3 linked regions of the Oryctolagus cuniculus genome follow. The protein of the gene in region 1 binds, or shares a complex with, the protein of each later gene. Links are inferred from orthologs where the notes say so. Each region holds a gene or a part of one and is shown on either strand. Other genes may lie near its edges. The genes, in order: CELF1, CALR and CALR3.

The links.
Region 2: CELF1 (region 1) and CALR share a complex: the UniProt entries of both Homo sapiens proteins name them as parts of the EIF2 complex. The link is inferred for Oryctolagus cuniculus from reciprocal best matches to the Homo sapiens genes CELF1 and CALR.
Region 3: CELF1 (region 1) and CALR3 share a complex: the UniProt entries of both Homo sapiens proteins name them as parts of the EIF2 complex. The link is inferred for Oryctolagus cuniculus from reciprocal best matches to the Homo sapiens genes CELF1 and CALR3.

What each region holds. Positions count from the first base shown.
Region 1 is NC_091432.1:18,533,459-18,537,102, forward strand, and holds part of CELF1 (CUGBP Elav-like family member 1), read left to right. Parts: intron 1-253; coding exon 254-381; 3' UTR 382-420; exon of another isoform or gene 421-3,644. UniProt on the Homo sapiens protein: RNA-binding protein implicated in the regulation of several post-transcriptional events. Involved in pre-mRNA alternative splicing, mRNA translation and stability.
Region 2 is NC_091447.1:62,399,664-62,404,057, reverse strand, and holds the start of CALR (calreticulin precursor), read right to left. Parts: upstream 2,807-4,394; 5' UTR 2,750-2,806; coding exon 2,659-2,749; intron 2,288-2,658; coding exon 2,186-2,287; intron 2,018-2,185; coding exon 1,814-2,017; intron 1,564-1,813; coding exon 1,469-1,563; intron 1,374-1,468; coding exon 1,164-1,373; intron 1,053-1,163; coding exon 939-1,052; intron 835-938; coding exon 691-834; intron 1-690. UniProt on the Homo sapiens protein: Calcium-binding chaperone that promotes folding, oligomeric assembly and quality control in the endoplasmic reticulum (ER) via the calreticulin/calnexin cycle.
Region 3 is NC_091447.1:64,868,120-64,871,174, reverse strand, and holds part of CALR3 (calreticulin-3), read left to right. Parts: intron 1-337; coding exon 338-445; intron 446-1,091; coding exon 1,092-1,223; intron 1,224-3,055. UniProt on the Homo sapiens protein: During spermatogenesis, may act as a lectin-independent chaperone for specific client proteins such as ADAM3. Required for sperm fertility. CALR3 capacity for calcium-binding may be absent or much lower than that of CALR.

The sequences.
Region 1 (3,644 bases):
TGGGATTAAATATTTGACCACTGAGAGAGAAAGAGAAGGGGCTGAGTGCAGAAAGGACTGGAATGAAAATAGACTCTTTAGGGGCTATGTAGATGTCAAATTAAGACTCTGAGATAACAATTTCCAGAGTTCTCGGCCCTGCTGAGAAAATTGGAATTTGAAACTAAGCACATAAGTTGTCCCTTGAGTAGTGGAGACCAGACACCTTCTTGCCACCATATGCCCTCACCTCGGCTGCTGCTTGTACACACAGGTTTTGTAAGTTACGACAATCCTGTTTCTGCTCAAGCTGCCATCCAGTCCATGAACGGCTTTCAGATTGGCATGAAGCGACTTAAAGTGCAGCTCAAACGTTCGAAGAATGACAGCAAGCCCTACTGAGCGTGCTCCCCTCTGAGACTGAAGTGAGAGGGTCTTCTGGTAAGTGGGGGAGGAGCACCCTTATTGATTCGAAGCCCTGAGGCTGTGTGTTGACAGCCCCGGACCCTGATCCCCGCCACTCTCGCAGGCACAGCTTGCCCTGAAGACTCGGCTACTGCCTTCTGTGGGAGTTTCGCTTCGTACAGAGGACAAGTTTGTGCTTTGGTTTCCAGTGTTTTACTTTGGAGTTTAGGTGCCATATCCTGAGTTTTTTTTTTTTTTTTTTTTTCTTTATTTAAAGTTTGCTGTGTTTGTAACCAGTGTGTGTTGAGAAGGACCAACACCAAACCACCCTGGGGGAGGGGGAATGGGGAAATGTTCTTAAAAGATAATTAGAATTTGCCCCAAACCACCCCATGAGAGAGGACTGAGTGGAACAAAAAACTGACCACCCAAATTTCCCTGAGCGCAAGGGTGGATGGGATGAGAACTGACATCCAAGAGCTGAGGGACCGCAGAGGTGGGTTGGCTTTGGAAGACAGTGGGAATGGTGTGACCCCTAACACCTGGCAGCTGGAGGCAGAAATGCCTCTAGCTAGCTGCCTTCTGTGGACATACAAATTTTTGCCACTGATCTTTCAGATTGTTGGCCTGAATTTCTGCCCCTCTTCCCTGAAAAGGGGTTAGCAGTTCCCTGGAAATAAAGCAGCTGTTAAATTAGACTGACATATTCAAAAAGCAGGGAGACATAAGCCATTATCAGCTTCCCTAGCCAGCATTGGATTGGCCCTGCCTGGCTGGTGGCTGTTTGGGAGAAGCAGCCAAAGAGATCATTTTTAGTTTATTGCAACACCAAATGTGACCATGGCCCATGCCCAATAGGTTCTTTTAAAGAAGGCCTCTCTGGCAGACGTTGGCTGGCATCCCTCCTGGCAGGGCACCACAGCAAGGGACAGCACTTACATCTAGCTGAAGGGGGAACCTGTCTTGGGCTGAGAGACCTAAAGCCATTTAGTTGGAAGAACAAGAGTCTGCTGCTTGGGGCACCTGAATCCGTAGGTGGCTGCAAGCCAGGACGCTGCATTTGCCAGTGGCCAGAACTTAGTGTTTAAGAGAAATCAGAGGCCCACCCTTGCCTCCTTGGTTGAGGTGCTCCAGGTATGGTATTGCCACAGAGGTCTCACAAGCCCTCTGCTAACCACTCCAGCCCCATATTCTGCTCTCGGGGACAGAGGAGACAACAGAACGTTTACATCCTCAACATGGATTTAGTGTTCATTTACCTCAGTATTACTATGTTCTCTTTTGTCCTCGTGCTTACAGTTAGCTCCTTGCTGCCTCCCACAGGTCTCACTCCAGCTCTTGCCAGTGACCCCCACCCAGCCTCTGGGCTCTGTCTCTGCTCCAAGAAATGCAGTAGGGGGTAGAGAGCCAGGAAGGACATGCCAGTTAGCGGTGTGCACCCAGCCAGAGGTGCCCTCTGAGGATAGGATTATCAGCAGTCAGGGACTGAGTTCCTGGGTCCCTGCAATCTCAGACCTCACGAGTGTCAGTCCTGACCCCAGCAGCAGGGATTAGAATAAAGGGGTTGGTTTGCTAGTAAGTCAGATGGGGGCGCTCTCCTCCTCTTGCTGTTCCTGTGGGCAACAGACAGGGAGTGACCGTCTTGTGTTGTACAGGTAGTTGGTGGTGTTGGATTATCCCATTGAAGGGGGGACAGCTTGTCCCTTCTCATAGTGATAACTTGGGTCCGTGTCCTCTTAAGAAACATGAAGCATACACTTCTTAAGCTGAACCACGTAAACTTGAATTCTGCGCACTGGGAGAAATGTGTCCTGTGTTTCAAAGGATAAAACTGTTCTAAAGGCTTCCAGGGTCATGATGGGATTTTTTTAAATAAATGCAAAAAAAAAAAAAAAAAAAAGAACAAAAAAACAAAAAAAGAAAAAAATGCTAGGTTGGGGAGGCGCTGTTCTGAATCCCAACCGGCTGGAACCAAGAATGTCGTTTCTATTTTTATAGAAGTTTTATACAGCTCCGGGGTGGAGAATATTTATTACCTAAATTATATCTCTGGAAAAGGCCAGGATTTTGTAGAATCCAGAATGTGATTGTTGTACACACAGGGTGCTGTGTATGATTGAAACTACTGACTTTCTGTGGCCCGTTTGCAGCCCAGCTCACCTGCCCAAGGGGAAGGCATTAATGCTGTGAATTGGCAGAGGAGAGAACTGTGCTCCACAGGGTGCTGCCGGTGCTGTGCTCCCTGACCTTCTGTTCTGTCTTCCTCCGTGATCAGAACTCCTCTCCACCCCACCTCTCTCCCTCCCTCCACTCCTTCCCCAATTTGCCATTGTTTGTCCTGGGCTCTGGGACCTTATGAGAACCCTCTCCCAATGACCTGAGAGACATAGGTGCAATCTGCCTGCCCTAGATACGAGGCCGAGGCCCTGCGACTTCGTCCCTGCTCAGGGCTTCTCTCTTCTAAAAGGAGCACTTGCCCCAGCAGGGGTCCTGGGCTGCCCCAGCAGCCAGCTGGTGAGACCATACCTCCCCTCTGTTCTCTCCTCCCTCCCAGTGAGCTAGCACAGCAGCAGCGCTGCCCTTGAGCACAGTTCTCTCTCCAGGCCAAAGATGGTTTTGTGAAGAAGCTGCTCCCCTAGAAGTCTCACAGTGTGAAAGGACTCAGCTCGAGAGTGGAGACTCGCAGTCGAGTCCTAAGCAATCCTGTTCTGTATGTGGAGGTTTCACTTACATGTGTTTTCTGCTGTAGTTTTGTTTCTTACTTGGGTTACATCATGAAATTGATTTGCCTTGAATGCAGCCAGACCACTGTCTCCTGGGTTCCACATGAGTGGCCAGGGCCTGTGTGGAAGCTAAGAGCTTGGATTTCTGGGAACAAAGGGCCATCCCCATGGGATTAAGCAGGAATCCGGGCCCTCTCCCTAAAAGAATGCTCCCTACCCTGGCCAGCGTCTTCTGCTGTTCCCCCTGCCCCCTCCCAGAGACCCTCTTCTCCTGAGTGTCGGGTGCTTCCCAGGAAATCCAAGCCTTAGGTTCCCTTCTGTCTCTGGCAAGTGGATGTTTTCTTGGTGTCCTCCATGTCCTTTTTGACTCTTCCCTGTGTCCATTGTTAGCATGTGCAGAAGTTCCCTGTCATTGCCCCGCCCCGCCCCGCCCCGCTCCTCATTTCAGGGCTGTACACACAGTGAGTGTCCTGCTCTCTCTCTCTCTGTTTGGATGTATTGCTCTGTGTAACTCAGTGGGTCTCCCTCTTTCTGGTT
Region 2 (4,394 bases), on another chromosome or scaffold:
TCACAGGGCGAGCTGCTGGCACCTGGCGGCGGGGGGCTGGGGTCCCAGCCACTGCCCCACCGGGACCTGTCTGCGCGACCCTGAGTGACTCGCCATCGCCTCCCTACAAACACCTCAGCTGCTTCATGGGGGAGATGGGCACTCACTCCCTTGCTCACCAGCGGCTCAGGGACTGACTACAGGACCTACATTCAGTCCCAGCTACGTCTTTTTTTCCCTCCCTTACATACTCATTTATTTAAAAAACACAGCAAGAGAGGAAAAGGGGAGAGAGGAATCCATCCTCATCTGTGGGTGCCCCCCCACCCCCCGCAGCCAGGGGCCTGGAACCCATCCCAGGTCTCCCATGTGCGTGGCAGGGACCCAAGCACTTGGGTCATCATCTTCTGCCTCCCAGGTGCACTTGCAGGAAGCTGGATGGGAAGTCGAGCACCCAGGACTGCTCCCACTCCCGCCCCACCCGTCCTGCCCCAGCTCAACTTTCTAGCAGGTGAGCGGATGACAATGACCTTCTAGGTCAACCAGTGGACTTGGGGGGAGCACAGGGAGCAGGCCTTCTGGGGGGAGGGGGGCTTCTGCAAGGGCCCCGCAGCCACAGACCAGGACCGGAGCTTCAGGAAAGAGGTCGGGTCTACGGGTCCCTCTCCTCCTGGGTGCCCCGGAGCCCCGAGGGCCACCCCGCCATCTCACCTGCCAGAGGTCCAAGCCCAGCACGGCAAAGCTGTCGTAGGCATAGATGTTAGCGTCGGGCGAGTACTCGGGGTTGTCGATTTCGGGGTGGATCCAGGTGCCTTTGTAATCGGGGTTGTCGATCTGCCGCGGCTTCCACTCACCCTGTGTGTGTGTGTTGGGGGGTGGGGAGGATACACAGAGGGGTGAGTGGAAGCGGGCGCGCGCCCCACGGAGAGCCCCCACCTGCCCAAGACCCCGCGGCACACCTTGTACTCGGGGTTCTGAATCACCGGCGGCTCCCACTCTCCGTCCATTTCTTCGTCCCAGTCTTCGGGCTTCTTCGCGTCCGGGTCGGGGATGTGCTCGGGCTTGTCCCAGTCCTGGGGGGTCGAGACCCGTGCGTGAGGCCAGCTGAGCACACGCCCCGTGCCTGCCCGCCACACACGTCCCCCACCCGCCACACGCTATCTGCCCTGGGCCCCAGCAGCCACCTCGGGCTTGGAGTCCGTGGGGTCGTCGATCTTGGCCCGCTCGTCCCAGTCTTCGGGCTTCGAGGCATCTGGGTCCTTTATCTTCTTGGGGGGTAGGAAGTCCCAGTCATCCTCCAGGGAGCCCGACTCCACCTGGCTGTTGTCAATCTTCACCTCATACGTGTTGTCCGGCCGCACGATCAGGGTGTACAGGTGTGTGAACTCGTCGTCCTGGGGGCGGGCGGGTGGTGAGCGGGCCCCGCCCACCCGCGGCCACCGCTGCCCGGGCCACCCCTCTGGCCACACCCACGGCGGGGGGCAAGCACCTTGCAACGGATGTCCTTGTTGATCAGCACGTTCTTGCCCTTGTAGTTGAAGATGACGTGAACCTTCTTGGTGCCGGGGCCACAGATGTCAGGACCTGGGGTGGGGGAGGGGACAGGGAGTGGGCTCAGTGCCCCCACCCTCTCTCTTTCCAAAAGGGAAGACATCTCGCCCTCAAACACAATCGGCTCCAGAACTCAATGAGGAAGTCCCCGGATGTGAGCACCAGGACCTCCGCTGGCTGCAACCCAGTCCCTTAGGTGTCCCCCCCAACCCCAGGGCCGTCTGCAGGCTCTCGGGGAGCCCCGCGGGGCTGGCCGGCTCAGGGGTGCGTCTCCGCCCCTCACCAAACATGATGTTGTACTCAGAGTCCCCGTGCATGTCCTTCTGGTCCAGGCCGGCCGGAAACAGCTTCACGTAGCCGCCCCCGCAGTCAATGTTCTGCTCGTGTTTCACGGTGAACTGCACCACCAGTGGCTGGCCCTTGTTGCTGAACGGCTCGAATCGGGCCGACAGGGCGTAGAAGCGGGCGTCCTGGCTGGTCTGCAGCCCTGGGAGGGCACGGGAGCGGGCGGGGTCGGGGTCGGGGTCAGGGTCAGAGTCAGATCCCAAGGACCCTCCCTAACACACCCCCTGCACCTGCCCTGGTCCTGCGGGAGAGGCGCTAACCACTGCTCCTTCCAACAAGCCGAGCCCCACGCGACTCCCGGGCACCTCACCTTTATCTTTCTCCTGATCGCCGTAGAACTTGCCCGAACTGAGGACGAATTTGCCAAAATCGGACTTGTGTTTGGATTCGATCCAGCGCTCGGTCCACCCATCTGAGAGGAGGTGGGGGGGCGTCACAGGGGCAGGGCAGGCCGACCACCCTCTCTCCCCCCACATCCCCAGCGCCCATCCATCCAAACACCTGCCAGGAGCTGCAAGGTGTGTGCGGTGGGGGGGAGTTAGGCAGGAGCGGCGATCTCCCCCCGGGGTGTCTCGAGGCAACCTCTGGGCGAACCCCAACTCCCGCCAGGAGCGGCAACTGCGTCCCCCACACTCCCCCGGGGAGGCGAGAGGCGGATCGCCCGCGGCTCCGAGTCCCCCGGGGCCGCGCCGTGTTGGTCCTCTCGGAGCGGTAATTACAGGGCCGCGCGCACCGCGGGCCCGGGCTATGGGGGACCCGGGCGAGCCAGGGCCCCGGCGTTACCTCCGTCCAGAAACTGCTCCTTGAAGTAGACGACGGGCTCGGCGGCGGCCAGGCCGAGCAGGCCGAGCAGCAGCGGCACAGGGAGCAGCATGGCGGGCCGAGGGGGCGGCGGCTCGCGGGCCCTTTAAAACGATCCTCCGGCAGCGGCTCTGCAGTACGGACGGACGCCGCCGCCGGCTGAGGGCTTTTATACCCGCCCGCCCCCTCACACCAACCTGACCCGGCCTCTAGGCCCGCCCCGTCCACCTTATCATTGGTCTGCAGCCACCGCTCTCCCTACCCATTGGGTGACGGTCGGCCCAGCACGTCAGGTTGTGCCTCGGAACGCTGGGTTCCCAGATGGCCGATTTCTATTGGCCGCATAACCGGCCAATGACGGTCGACCACGCGTTGTGGGGGACGCCTACTGGAGGGGTGGGGGCCGCGAGCCCCCGCTCCGGGCAGGTCACGTGACTGCACCCCAGCCGGACCCCGCCCTCGGCGGCTCGCGCGCGCTTCGGGCTCCCCACGGGGCGCTTTGGAGACCGCGCGCGGGCGCAGGTGTCCGGGCGCCGGGACCCTACCCCTATCCCGACGCGTGGCGGCCTGGGCAAGGCTCTTCCGTCCCGCTGCCTGCCCTGCATGTGGGGGACCTGCGTTCAGACGTGAACTGTTTCTCCCGCCCAGCTTGGGGCCCCCCTTCCGCGGGGGCTGCACCCCGGTGCCCCTGGCACCTGTCAGCCAGCTGCTGGGTGGCCCGGGGCAAGTCGCTTCGTTTCTGAACTCTCGGTGGTGCACAAAAGCCAGGGGTGGCGACCTGGTGCAGATGCTATCTGGTAGGAAACCTCTGTCAAGTTTGTTTTTTTAAAGATTTTTTTTTTCTTTTTTACGGCTGTGCACGCGCAGAGGGGGCGGAACTGCAAGAGGGGTCAAAGAGGAGGCTGGAGGCTGTGGCTCCCCTAATGGCAGTCATGCTCTGCCGGTCGTGGAAAGGGGCTTGTAAGCCGGGGTCTGCAGCGCCCGCACCCTCCATGGGCGCCGGTTCGAGTCCCGGCTGCTCCACTTCCGATCCAGCTCCTTGCTAATGTGCTTGGAAAAGCAGTGGAAGATGGCGTGGGCACGTGGGTGACCTGGAGGAAGTGCCCGGCTCCAACCAGCAGATGGAACATGCCCCCCTACCCCGGTCTGTAATTGTGACTTGTAAATAAATAAGAAAAAAAATCAAGCGGGTCCTCCCTTCTTGTGGTCTGCCACAAACAGCCTCGCTTTTGCAATTAAACGGCCATAGGCGAGAGGGTAGGGGTAGGGGGTTCCCTTTGGGAAGGGGGGGGGAAGACACAGACGGTAGGGAAGATACGGTTCTGGGGGCGTGGGCCGGGCTCCTGGGTCTCCAGGGGCATGGGGGACCGACAATGCCTTTCCCTACCTCTCCCTTCCCTGCCCGTGGGGGAGACCCAGAAAGAGGAAGAAAGACAAGTGGGGGGGGGGACCTGGGGGCTCTACTCTTTCTCCCAAACAATAGCATCCCACCTGCTGCCCCCCCCCCCCCCCCGGAAGATGGCCAAGTCCAAGTTGACTCCCAGGCCCACTACTGACCTGCCCAAGACACGTGGGTTTGGAACTTCCTGCTGGAGGGTGGGGACTACCCATCTTGTTTCCTCCCAACTTAAAAGCTACTTGCTAGGGGGCTGGCGCTCTGGCACAGAAATCTAAGCCTCCCCCTGTGGCAAAGGCATCCCATATGGGCGCCTGGCTGC
Region 3 (3,055 bases), on another chromosome or scaffold:
CATCTGAGAATTTCCTGTCTCAGATGTGAACCTCTGACTTTTTAAAAAAACTTATTTATTTAATTGAAAAGCTGAGTGACAGAGCATGAGGCATGGAGAGATCTTCTATCTGCTAGTTCATTCACTAAATGCCCACAACAGCAGGAGCCCCCCCAGGTCTCCCACATAGGTGGCAGGGGACGCAGGTACTTGCATGAGCCATCTGACCCACTGCCTTCCCAGGAGCATTAGCAGGACTCTGGACTGGAAGCGGAGTCACGGGGACCGGCCGTGGGACCGGCCGTGCCACCACCCCCACCCCACCCTGACTGGTCTTGCCTTTTCCGCATCTTTGAAGGACTGGGAGAAGCATTTTCTGGACGCTGGCGCCAGTGAACCAAGTGACTGGAACAGTGAGCTGGATGGGGACTGGCAGGCACCGATGCTCCAGAAGCCACCCTACCAGGTGGGCCACACCTTCTTTCCCATGATGCCCTGGGGTGACCTTGGGCTGCCCCCCAGGTGGGCTGCACCATCCTTCCCATGATGCCCTGTGGTGACCTTGGGCTGCCCCCCCAGGTGGGCTGCACCATCCTTCCCATGATGCCCTGGGGTGACCTTGGGCTGCCCCCCCAGGTGGGCCACACTGTCCTTCCCATGATGCCCTGGGATGACCTAGGACCACCCCCCAGGTGGGCCGCACCGTCCTTCCCATGATGCCCTGGGATGACCTTGGGCTGCCCCGCCCAGGTGGGCTGCACCATCCTTCCCATGATACCCTGGGATGACCTTGGGCTGCCCCCCCAGGTGGGCTGCACCATCCTTCCCATGATGCCCTGGGATGACCTTGGGCTGCCCCCCCAGGTGGGCTGCACCATCCTTCCCATGATGCCCTGGGGTGACCTTGGGCTGCCCCCCCAGGTGGGCTGCACTGTCCTTCCCATGATGCCCTGGGATGACCTTGGGCCGCCCCCCCACGAGGGCCGTGTCGTCCTTCCCACGATGCCCTGGGATGACCTTGGGCTGCCCTCTCCCTCTCCCCGGCCCTCCTTCCGGGACCACCACATGCAGCGTCATGGTCATGGTCATGGTCATGGTCATGGTCGTTGCAGGACGGCCTGAAGCCAGAGGGCATCGACAAGCACGTCTGGCTGTACCAGAAGATGAGGGGCACCAGCTCCCTGATGGAGTACGACCTCTCGGAGTTTGAGAACATCGGCGCCATCGGACTGGAGCTCTGGCAGGTCACTCGGTGTCTCAGTCCACTTTCTCTGGCTAGGACAGTGCACCCACGCGGCGGGCTATGCGGTGGAAAGACGTGTGTTGACGCTGAAGTCCGGGATCAGCTGGCCTCGCGGGTGTGGTCCCTGGTTAGAGCCTTCTGGCTGCATCACAGCTTGGTGAATGGCGTCCCATAGCAAGAGCACAAGCAGAGAGCGCGTGGTGAGACGGGACTAAGAGACCAGGAGCAGAGGGCGCGTGGTGAGACGGGACTAAGAGACCAGGAGAGGAGGGCGCGTGGTGAGACGGGGCTAATGGACCAGGAGCAGAGGGCGCGTGGTGAGACGGGACTAAGGGACCAGGAGCAGAGAGACAGGACTAAGAGACCGGGAGCAGAGGGCGCGTGATGAGACGGGGCTAAGGGACCAGGAGCAGAGAGCGCGTGGTGAGACGGGGCTAAGGGACCGGGAGCGGGGGGCGCGTGGTGAGACGGGGCTAAGGGACCGGGAGCGGAGGGCGCGTGGTGAGACGGGGCTAAGGGACCGGGAGCGGAGGGCGCGTGGTGAGACGGGGCTAAGGGACCAGGAGCGGAGAGCGCGTGGTGAGACGAGACTAAGGGACCGGGAGCGGAGGGCGTGTGGTGAGACGGGACTAAGGGACCAGGAGCGGAGGGCGCATGGTGAGACGGGGCTAAAGGACCAGGAGCAGAGGGCGCGTGGTGAGATGGGGCTAAGGGACCGGGAGCAGAGGGCACGTGGTGAGACGGGACTAAGGGACCAGGAGCAGAGAGCGCGTGGTGAGACGGGGAGCCAGGGACCAGGAGCAGAGAGCGCGTGGTGAGACGGGACTAAGGGACCAGGAGCAGAGGGACAGGACTAAGAGACCAGGAGCGGAGGGCACGTGGTGAGACGGGGCTAAGGGACCGGGAGCAGAGAGCGCGTGATGAGACGGGACTAAGGGACCAGGAGCAGAGGGCGCGTGGTGAGACAGGGAGCCAGGGACCAGGAGCGGAGAGACAGGACTAAGACTCCGGGAGCAGAGAGCGCGTGGTGAGACGGGACTAAGGGACGGGGAGCAGAGAGCGCGTGGTGAGATGGAGAGCTAGGTACCAGGAGCAGAGAGCGCGTGGTGAGACGGGACTAAGGGACCAGGAGCAGAGGGACAGGACTAAGAGACCAGGAGTGGAGGGCGCGTGGTGAGATAGGACTAAGGGACCGGGAGTGGAGGGCGCGTGGTGAGACGGGGCTAAGGGACCAGGAGCAGAGAGACAGGACTAAGGGACCAGGAGCGGAGGGCGCGTGGTGAGACGAGACACCAGGGACCTCTCTTTCAGAACCACCTGTTCCTGGGGTAACAAACTGATTTCCAGGATTCTTGATGCATTCCCTCCAGACAGCATTAATCCACTCCTGAGAGTAGAGTCCCAGACAGCATTAATCCACTCCTGAGAGTCAAGTCCCATGATGTAACCACCTCCCACTGGGCCCTACCTCTTCAAGGTCCCACCACTTCAGCAGTACTGCCATGGGGACCAAGGTGCCAAGATCAAGACCTTTGGGGGAAGAAAGCACATTGAAAACATAGCGTTGACTGTAACTTTGCTAGACTCTGAACTTCAGCCTGAACTTGTACATTAATGCTGTTCCCTGAGCACTTGCTGGGTGCCAGGTACCCCTACCTGAACCCTGGAGGTAGAGCCGCGGTTCGTTTTTTAAAACAGATTGGTTCATTGATTTATCTAAAGGCAGAGTCCAGATGAGAGAGGGGGAGACAGAGATCTTCCAAGTACTGATGAGTGGCAGGAGCCAGTCACTTGAGCCAGGACTGCCGCTTCCCAGGGTGTGCAGTAGCAGGA